Sus scrofa: one gene and its partner. The main gene of each other region encodes a partner of the protein of the gene in region 2 in a complex. Links are inferred from orthologs where the notes say so. Each region holds a gene or a part of one and is shown on either strand. Other genes may lie near its edges.

Region 1 (4,923 bases), on a different chromosome or scaffold from region 2:
ATGCTGCCTGGACAGAGGGTCTATTCTCCATCTGCTGGGCCAGTCTTCTGTTTCTGGCACTGGCTAGCTGCTGTTGTTGCTGCATCGAAGCCCGAATATTCACTGGCATCGGTTGTTTGTTCTTCAGCATATTAGTAAAGCTTCAAGGTCGAACAAAATGGATGTTTAAATAAAAGCTTTATTACAAAACATTTACTGGCATTTTCATGGCTTGCTAGACCAGGAGCTCCAGATCCCACGAACTTTAAGTAAAGCGGTACACTTAGATCAAGGCTGATGTGGGTTAAAGACTCCTCCGCTTCCACAAACTTGCAAGAATCAGAAACTCAGAAATGCAGCTAAGTGTAGCACATTCAATCAAAAGTGATAACAAGGGCTCAGGTAACGGCTTTTAGAGATAGAAAGCATGAAAAACACGCAATAAGCAGATATGATGACAAGAGACAGAAGATGTAGTTTCAAAGACAGACAAAGCAAGCCAAATCCTTTGGGACCTGAGGGTGCATTTTAAGGGCGTATATAAGGACGGACTAGAGCACCTTCAAAGCCTATGGAAATGATACATCCACATAAATTACAGGAGTATATCACATTTTTTTCATAAGTGGTTCACGCAGTAACATGTGAATATGAAGAATTAGTGTACCACGTGCCCTAAGAAGCACATATGCTTCAGAAAAGGCAGACAAACACAAGTAAATCTTATGTTTAACAGCAACTTAATAAAATCATTTGTCAAAGGCACTCAAGGAACAAGGCCCTCAGAGACAGAAAGTGCCTTTAAATACCTTAACTTTTCTTAGTTTCAAATGATTACTTTTTCTGACTCCAAGTTGATTACTTCTGAAAAGTTAAGATTAGTTCAATCATTGAGGCTCTTGTGAAGACACTCTTCTATTATTCCTGTCGAATTTAACGGAATGAAAGAGAAGAACACTTAAGCGCAAAAGAATCCAAAACAAAAACAAACTAAAAGCAGAATGGAAAGAAAGTGAAATGGAGCAAAGCAAGTGCCTCTTACAAGGTCCAAGAATGACATTCAAGGGCCTTTGGACATATTCATAGCTTGCTACCTGCCTCTTACAGGCCAGACACAACACTGCTGGCCTTGGACTGGGCAGCAAGCCTACTGCAGCCGGGGTTCCATGCTACCAAGCTGCACCACCCCTGTATCAATGTAAAAAAAATGTGAAGAAAATGGAGGGTGTGAGGAGTCTTTTAAAATACATCCCACCAGAGAAATATTTCAGACAGCTTAACATAAAAATCTACTGATAAGTGGTTTTGAAACAACCGCCCAATTTGTTTTGTGTACCACATAAGATGCTACTAAGAACAGAGGTCTGTAGCCTTCTGTTGGTATTTAGCTTAAAACTGGTTTTTGTGCATTGGACCCAGGGCCAACTTAAGTAATGTTTTCTTATGAACGAGCTGAAGTTGCTGTTGGCTGCCTCACCGCTCATTTAGAGACATCTTGGTGGTGCTTTTTAGCACAACTTTCGGTGCTGACTGTGCAGCCATCTTCAAATCCCGAGAATCTACAAAAGACAATGGGCAAAGTGAGCAAATCAGAATGATGACTACCTCATTTCAACAGGGCCAAAGGCCCAAACCAAAAATGAATGAATAGGCCTGTCTCAATGACTACTGAAGATCACACCAAAACTCATTTCAGGTGCTTACATTTAGAAGCTAAGTTATCTGGAATTAATAAACTTCAAGGCCACATGACAGAAAATACCTGCCCAAGCCTCCAAAAATGGCAGACCTAGACCTAGCCAAAGAAAGTGTTTGGCTTTTCATCTAGAGCGGTCCTTCTCTACCTTGGCTGCAAGGAGCTTTAAAAAACAACAACAGGAGTTCCCTTCATGGCTCCGCGGTCACAAACCCAACTAGCATCCTTGAGGATGTGGGTTGGACCCCTAGCCTCGCACAGTGGGTTAAGGATCTAGCGTTGCTGTGGGTTGTGGTCTAGGCCGGCAGCTACAGCTCCAATTCGACCTCTAGCCTTGGAACTTCTATATATGCGGCCCTAAAAAGACAAAACAACAACAAAGACAGACACAAAATACAGAAGCTTCGGCCCAAACCATTTAAAGCACAATCTCTGCTGGTGAGGTCTGGGGATCAGCAATTAGAAGGTGGTGCGGGGAGGGGGGGTGGTGTCTAACTTGCTGCTTCTCATGTGCAGCCAAAATTCAGAACCACTGCTCTAGAGAGATGATACAGGTTTACCAGTTTACAAATTGGCTTTCAACTCCAAAGTCTTGCAGGAACCTTAGCAAGGGACTGGGGACGTGGGGGAGGGATGGAGTAGGAAAGGTTTCCTAAATGGGCGTTCACCTGGGAGTTCGATCCCAGAGAGCACGCCACAAAATTTAACTCTACAGCTGCCAGTGCATTCTGACGTTCCCTAAAGCCGTGTAGTCCTCCTCTGAACTCCCATCTCAAAGCCCCGTCCGGGACCGCCAACGTTGCTCAACCCGCCCAGCAATGTTCCTTTCTATTCCTACCAAATCCCAACCTCCAGCAGCGAGTTTCCAGCTCGGGGCCTCCCCCGCCTCCCTCTCAGGGGCTCCGCCCCCTCCCGGGGCCTCCACTCCCCGACACCCAATCTGCTTCCACATCCCACCAGCTCCCACTCCACGACCGCCGGGCCCGGGCGCTCCCCAAGACTTTTGCCCTCCTTCTCACCACAGAAACGTACCGAAGGAAACGGACGCCAGTGCTCCTCCCGGGGTTGCCACCACGGCTGCGACAGGCTGGCCGGGGGCCGGCCGAACCTGAGTTGACGGTGGAGGGGCTCGGATTAACTTGGTGGGCGGTTGGTTGTATGTGTTAAACGGTAGAATGCTAGGTTAGTTCGTTGATGCTGGGTGGCTGTCCGGTCGGCCGGTTCGCCTGCTCGCCCGGCGTGCCCTTTCCTGCCTTTCACCACAGCCGCTGCCGCCAACTCCCGCTCGCTCTCCAAAACAAAATGGCCGCCACGCCCAGTGCGGAATGGGACCGGCTAAAATGGCGTCGACGCCATTACGTCAGACGTCAGGTCTGCGCACAGCGCAGGAGGCGGGAAAATTTGTGTTACGCCTGCGCGGGGGATGAGGCGGAGCTCCAGGGAAAAGGCGGGGCTTTAGGCTGTATTACACTCCGAGCCCCACCCGGGAAGGGGCGTGGCCAATATATTCTCTCTTGGGTTTTAAGGCGGCTGCAAGTTGGTGATTTGGGACGTTCAAGGCGGATTTGGTCCTCTTAAGAAAAGAAGTTCGTATTTCATTGCGGGTCCCTCCACCCCTAAAGCTAAGGCAGACCGACTAAAATTCTTTACGCGACATGACTCGGTCTTTCTTCCGAGAGCCACCGGGCCGGTGTAATTTGCGCTGGCTCCCCCCTCAGCATACGCCCCTTTTAGAGTTGTGGGTTGCCATAAACGCACCTGGGGACCAGTGCAGGGAGCACACCTCACTGGATCCTGCACCACGCACCACTGCCCGTCCATATTTTTCTCTTCACTTCCCTTCCCAATTTGGCCTGAAGATTGTTAAATTCTTATTTGGGGGAAGCTTTGCGTCCCCGCAACCTATTCCAATGTCTTCTCCCTCCATCTAGCTTCCATGTGGATTTTGATGCAGACCTATATGGCATTTTCCTTATACCTGGGCACACAATAAAAGGCTCAGATGGGAGTTCCCGTCGTGGCGCAGTGGTTAAGGAACCCAACTAGGAACCATGAGGTTGCGGGTTCGATCCCTAGCCTTGCTCAGTGGGTTAACGATCCGGCATTGCTGTGAGCTGTGGTGTAGGTTGCAGACGCGGCTCGGATCCAGCGTTGCTGTGGCTCTGGCGTAGGCCAGGTGGCTGCACCTCTGATTCAACCCCTAGCCTGGGAACCTCCATATGCCGTGGGAGCGGCCCAAGAAATAGCAAAAAAAGACCAAAAAAAAAAAAAGGCTCAGATGTTGGAAGAATGAGTGAATGAACATGTCCTCAGTTCCACCTCCACTCTCTTAAAGGCGCATGAGATCCTTTCATTTTCCTTCCTAGCATTTATACGTGTATGTTTAATGGTTTGGCACCCTTTACTGGACTTCACCTATGTGACAGTGAGGGTTGTGTTTGTTTTGCTCACTGCTGTATTCCCAGTTTCCACACAATGTCTAGCACGGGGTAGGTCTTCAGCACATATTCTTCGAAAGTTGAAGGGCAATTTTTCTGGCTTCAAAGCTGAAAAGCTGATGTCTCTGCCACTTCCAGCTGGAACCTTGAGCCTCTACCTTTCTGGGCCTTGAGCATTCCTTAAGTAGGAAGATGTAATGGTTCCTTGATCTTTCTCCAAAATAAGATCCCTCCCCAAATAAAGCAATTTGGGAGTGAACAGCCTTCACTTCCCCACCCATTTCCAAACCCTGAAGGACCAGAGACAGCAGCTGGTGGCTGGTGAGAGAGGAGCCTTTAATGAAAGATGAGTTGCAGGCCTGGCCCACTACTCTTGCGCCCCTGTTGGAGGGTAGGCAAGGGTGAGAAGGTGGGGAGGGAACAGCGGGATGAAGGGGAAGCAGGGTGAAGAGGCAGGTATGGCAGGGTGGAGGGGAAGGGCGCTGCCCAATGGGACCATCTGCTCAACTGTTCTCCCAGAAGAAGTTGTTACAGGCCACTGTGAGGGCAGCCACCAGCACCACGTACTCCTGGAAGTCCACCTCCCCATCTCCATTCTCGTCGAGCTCCTTCATCACCTTGTCCACAGCATCCGCATCCTTCTGGGCCTGTGAAGCGAAGAAATGGTGAGGTAGGTGGACAGGGAGATGAATATCACAGAGTCAGGGGCATGGGACTTGCTTGACTGGAGAGGAGGAGGCAGAGATGAGCAAGAGGGAGAATTATGTCTCATTATGAGACTTTTCTTTTTTTTTTTTTTTTTAGGGCCGC
Region 2 (4,887 bases):
GATTCCCACCGGCCTTCCCAGGACCCACCTTGCACTCAGGGGCTGCTGGTTGCTGGTTGAGGCTGAGGCTCAGCAGCCCAGGGGAGGAGCCAGGCACCTGAGCCTTGAGCTCCCCACTCAGCTGCCACTGGTTGACGCAGCGACCCTGGCCAGCTGACAGAATCTGTGGGAGACAGGGATGGGGCTCGGGGTTCAGAGCTGGAGGGGAGCAGGCAGGGCTTTAGCAGAAGGGAGATAGAAGGCCTCACCAGGTCCTGGTAGAAGGTAACGTGCTTCTGCGGTGCCCGCATGGGGAAGATGGTGGTGGGTGTGGAAGATCGAAGGTGCCAGAGGGTGAGTGCCGGGCCACCTCCACAGACCTGGGCAGAAAGGTGGGGGCCCCCAGCCTCTGTGAGCCACAGAGCCTCAGCTGGACAGAGCCCAGCGCTGCCACCCCATCCTGCACTTGGCCCGGCTCACCATCCAGTCTGAGTCAGTTGCCAAACATCCGATCCAGCGCCCATTGTGGGGCCTCGAGCACTCCTGGGAGGGAGGAGAGGCGAGGCGGAGGTGGAGACGTGGGATGCCCAGAAAGGAGGAAGGGAGGACGGGGCGTGGGGTGTGCCCTCACCTCATGCTTGTAGACTTCGATCGTCTGGACCTCCCTGGCCGTGCGGAGGTCTGTGTGGGAAGAGCCGTGAGAGGCAGGCACCCCACTTGCCCCAGCCTCCCTCACCACCACCTCTCCCTCCAGACACTCTTACCCCAGAGCCGTACGGCCCCATCCTCGCCACCAGAGAGCACCTCGGGGCTCCTCTCCCTCAGCGCCAGGCAGTGGATGTAGTCTGTGTGGCCGCGGAGGGCCCGCTGCAGGGAGAGGGCAGTGTCAGGACAAGATCCAGGAAGAGGCCACCCCCCTCCCCGCCTGCTGCCTCCCCCCCAGCCACTCCAGCTCCACAGCTCACGGTGAAGGCCCCCGTCTCAAGGTCCATCGTGTGCAGCTGACAGTCTCCACCCGCCAGGATGAGGGAATTCTCCTGCAGAAGAAGGCGCGGGCAGGGCATGGGCGAGTGGGGTCAGAGGTCAGTGTCACGTCAGGGCAGGGGAGGGTAAGGATCAAATCTGGCCCAAGAACAGGGCAGGGGAGGGCCCTGATTATAAAGGGCTCGAACCTTGGGGACGAGAAGTAAAGCATTGATCTCAGGTACTTCTAGGCTGGTCCTGGGGGAGGAAAAACCACGTCAGCTCTGATGAGGCCATACCTTCACCTCCATGTGCCCTCTGCCCACATGGCCCTGGCTCACCTGTATGGGGGCTGACGACGCCACAGCTCCTTACAGCCCTTCGGGGAAGGAAACATTGGGTGACAAAGACTCTCTCTGGGTCTGGGCAGCTCACCCTTCCCCCAGCTCCACACTCACCTTCTTAAGGATCTCCGCCCAAAGCCAGGCCTTCACCTCCCCATCCCCGGCACTGAGCAGATGTCGATCAGTGGACACCATGCTGTAGACAGGCCCATCATGGGCTAAATGCAAGGGCAGAACCTGAGTGACCCCATCCTGCTCCTCTCATCCACCCTGGGGTTCCCCAAGACAGACTCGATGGCGGCACCCACCTTGGAAAGTCACAATGGGCTTCTTACTTTCCTCTTTGGCCTCGGAGCTCAGAGCAGCAGACAAGCTGAAGGGAGAGGGAAGAGGGGCCTGAGAGTCAGAAGCAGGAGGCGTCAGCCCCAGGAGCTAACGGGTGGTGGGGAGCGGGGGCAAGTGTACCTAAAGATGGCTATCTGCCCATAATTGTTGCCAGCCGCCAGGAACTTCCCACAAGGTGAGACACTCTGGGAGAAGATGGTCATGTGCAGCCGCTGCAGGGCCTGAAATACTTCCATCTGTGGAGAGAGACTGGATGAAGGCTGTCTGGGGCTTCCAAGACCTCGGATCCACAGACTCCTGCCCGCTTTCCCTGCTGCCAGCCCAGCCTCGCACCCCCGAGACCTCTCAGTCCTCCTGTGAAACAGCCCACCAGGGGGCACCTGCCCATACAGTCCCAGGAACGGCTCTGAGAAGGAGGCGAGAAAGGAGAGCGGTGCGGCTTGATGCTTAGTGGAACTTTTAGCAAGCATCCAGACTCTCCTGCAGGTTTCCTCAACTACGGAATGGAGCTCCTGGGAGATTTTTGTCCCGAATGGATAAGCTACTGTAAACAAAGAACTTCGCACAAGGAGAAACCGCTTTAAAAAGTGGCCTTACTCCCAAACAGAAAAATGTACTTTTTTTTTTTTTTTGACCGTCCTGCGGCAGCATATGGAGTTCCCGGGCCAGAGATCAGATCCCAGACGGAGTCGAGACTTAAGCCACAGATGCGGCAACGCCGGGTCCTTAACCCACTGTGCAGGGGATCCCAGCAATCCCAAGACGCCGCCGATCCTGCTGCGCCACAGCGGGAACTCCCGCCCTTTTAATCCCTACCTTTTGACTTTCATGTAAGGCCCCTGAGGTATTTCTGGGTTATTCTCCCGCCCACGGGTCAGAATCCGAGTCCCACCAAGAGCCCACGCGAAACAGAGATCAGGGCACGACTGCTTGCCAGCCGCTTCGAAGCCGGGCGTGGACTACAAACCCCAGAAGGCACCGCGCACCACGCACGCCTCACCTGACCCAGAGGCACCGCCGGCGGCACCGCTCGGTCCATCTCGAGAACTAAAAGTCCCAGAGAGCTCCGCGCTCCACGTAGCCTCACGAGTCCGGAAGTGCCTCCGGAGCAGCTCCCCTTCGCGGCGCCCTACCTCCCCAACACCGCTGGCCAGCCCGGCGTGAAGACGGCCTCTGCGTAACCCGAGTCCCAGCAGCGCAGGTGACCGCCAAGAAGATCCCAAGACTAAGTGGTACCCACCGCAACCCCGCTACGGCGGGCCCCCGCCCCCACCCCGCAGAGCAGACCCGCCTTCCAGCCGCGTGCCGTCAGCCTTCCGCGCCTGCGCAGACTCTGGCCGCTGCGTACGCCTAAAGCCACGCCCTACGCGTTGGGCCACGCCCTCGGAGACTCCTCCCCGGCGCCTGGATCCCACCCCTTCAGACCGCAGGACCTCGAACCCCAATGATCCTGCAGCAGCCCCTGGAGCGAGGCCCCCAGGGTCGGGCCCAGCGCGACCCGCGGGCCACCTCGGGAGTGCCCCGAGGCCTGGACGCGAGGTGTGTATGGGAGCCCTAGGCGGGCCTGGCTCGGGGGCCCAGGAGCTTTGGCTGTGGCCTCAGGCTGGTCTGCAGGCTGACACACGGTGGGGATTGTCCGCAGGGCTTGGGCGTGAGCTGAGCCACGGTCGGAGACTGGGGACTGAGACCTCCCAGGCAGGCTTCTGGATGGTTTGAGAGAGGGGGTGACTTGGGCGTCAGCTGAGACGGAGATGGGCTGGGCGCTCCTGGCTGACGCGCTGGCTTAGGCGGGCAGATCCTTGGGATGGGGCCAAGAGGGTGGGATGCTCCTGGCTCTCTTTTCTTCCCAGCTCCCCTCTCCGAGGAGCTGTGCCCATGAGCACCAAGCGGCGCCTGGAGGCGGAGCAGTGAGTTTGGGGGCAGGGAGGAACTCCCAGCAAGACCTCTGTCACCTCAGGTCCCCATCATACTACTTCTCCTCTGAATATCCCAGCTTGCCTGCCTCCCCGTCTCTCCCCAGGGAGCCCCTGCGCAAGCAGTTCCTGTCTGAGGAGAACATGGCCACCCATTTTTCTCAGCTGAGCTTGCACAATGACCACCCGTACTGCAGCCCCCCCATGGCTCTCTCCCCAGCTCTGCCCCCACTCAGGTAGGCACTATCCACAGTCCACCAGCGGGGCCTTCTGGAGGATCATACCCAATCCTCAGAGCCAGTCTCCAGGCTCTGCCTCATCCTGCTATTTTTAGCTTCTAGCCAACCTCTGCTGTTTCCCATCTTGGCTCCTAAGAAGGTGCCAGCAGCCTAGGAGCCCCTGGGAACCTGGACCAGGTGGGGTGTGGCTCTGCCAGGCCAGCCTCAGCTCTCTTCTGATTGTCATTTCCTCTTCCAGAACCTCTTGCCCCGAGCTGCTTCTCTGGCGCTACCCTGGGAACCTGATCCCCGAGGCACTCCGGCTGCTGAGGCGGGGGGACACCCCCACCCCCCACTCCCCTGCAACCTCAGCCGTGGACATAATGGAGCTCTGAGTGCTGGCGGACAGTGCCCCTGCCCTCCTTCCTTCCTCACAACAGGGAAGACCAGCATGCCCACAGAGGGACCAGCTACCCTGCTTTTCCTCCAGACCAGGCCTCTGGGCACCAGGACCTTCTCTCAACAGGACATTGAGCCCCCCAGAGTCCTGGGGTGGGAGGGGCAGGAGCATGGGAAGGGAGACCCCCCCCCAAGAACCGAATAAAGATTGATGAGCAAATGAAGGCTTCAGGCTGGAACCCAGGGCCTTTGGAAAAGGAGGGGCAGGGCTGGGGTCCTGGATGCTGGAGTTTCTCCTCAAGATCTTCCCTGGAAAACGGTCAAGGCCCGGCCAGGTCCTGGCAGGCTGGGCTCAGGCATTGAGAATGTGTGAGTCACAGCCTCACCCCCACCCCCGCGGCTGACTCACTCCTCCCTCCAGCTCTGGAAAGTTGGGCTGGGGATCATGCCACTCCGAACCTTTTAAAGTTAAAAGATTTTTTTTAATAAACTCCCCCCCAAAAAAACTTTCTCCCCCAAATAAATATCCCCCCCCTTTGGAGGTTGGAGGGGCAGTGTGTTAGGGCCAGCCCCACTAGAGGGCCAGCCCCCTAGTGTTAGGAACAGGTCCCTAAACCCCCAGGGCTGAGATCCCCTGTGGAGGAAATTCAGTATATCTGAGTGGGTGGGGCCTGGTGTGGTGTCTGTCCCTCAGGTCAGCCTGGCTCCCAGGCCGTGGTGGGGGTG

The links.
Region 1: THOC6 (region 2) and CHTOP share a complex: the UniProt entries of both Homo sapiens proteins name them as parts of the transcription/export (TREX) complex. The link is inferred for Sus scrofa from reciprocal best matches to the Homo sapiens genes THOC6 and CHTOP.

Annotation. Positions count from the first base shown.
Region 1 is NC_010446.5:96,002,598-96,007,520, forward strand, and holds the start of CHTOP (chromatin target of PRMT1 protein), read right to left. Parts: upstream 3,018-4,923; 5' UTR 2,708-3,017; intron 1,539-2,707; 5' UTR 1,522-1,538; coding exon 1,457-1,521; intron 141-1,456; coding exon 1-140. Other genes in the region: S100A1 (protein S100-A1), read right to left, coding at 4,617-4,760; S100A13 (protein S100-A13), read left to right, coding at 4,776-4,783. UniProt on the Homo sapiens protein: Plays an important role in the ligand-dependent activation of estrogen receptor target genes. May play a role in the silencing of fetal globin genes.
Region 2 is NC_010445.4:39,161,667-39,166,553, forward strand, and holds the start of THOC6 (THO complex subunit 6 homolog), read right to left. Parts: upstream 2,966-4,887; 5' UTR 2,671-2,965; coding exon 2,632-2,670; intron 2,607-2,631; exon of another isoform or gene 2,448-2,606; intron 1,868-2,447; coding exon 1,752-1,867; intron 1,660-1,751; coding exon 1,595-1,659; intron 1,505-1,594; coding exon 1,401-1,504; intron 1,322-1,400; coding exon 1,284-1,321; intron 1,201-1,283; coding exon 1,152-1,200; intron 1,017-1,151; coding exon 945-1,016; intron 847-944; coding exon 744-846; intron 661-743; coding exon 611-660; intron 523-610; coding exon 460-522; intron 360-459; coding exon 249-359; intron 164-248; coding exon 29-163; intron 1-28. Other genes in the region: HCFC1R1 (host cell factor C1 regulator 1), read left to right, coding at 3,076-3,170, 3,482-3,538, 3,652-3,780, 4,022-4,157. UniProt on the Homo sapiens protein: Component of the THO subcomplex of the TREX complex which is thought to couple mRNA transcription, processing and nuclear export, and which specifically associates with spliced mRNA and not with unspliced pre-mRNA.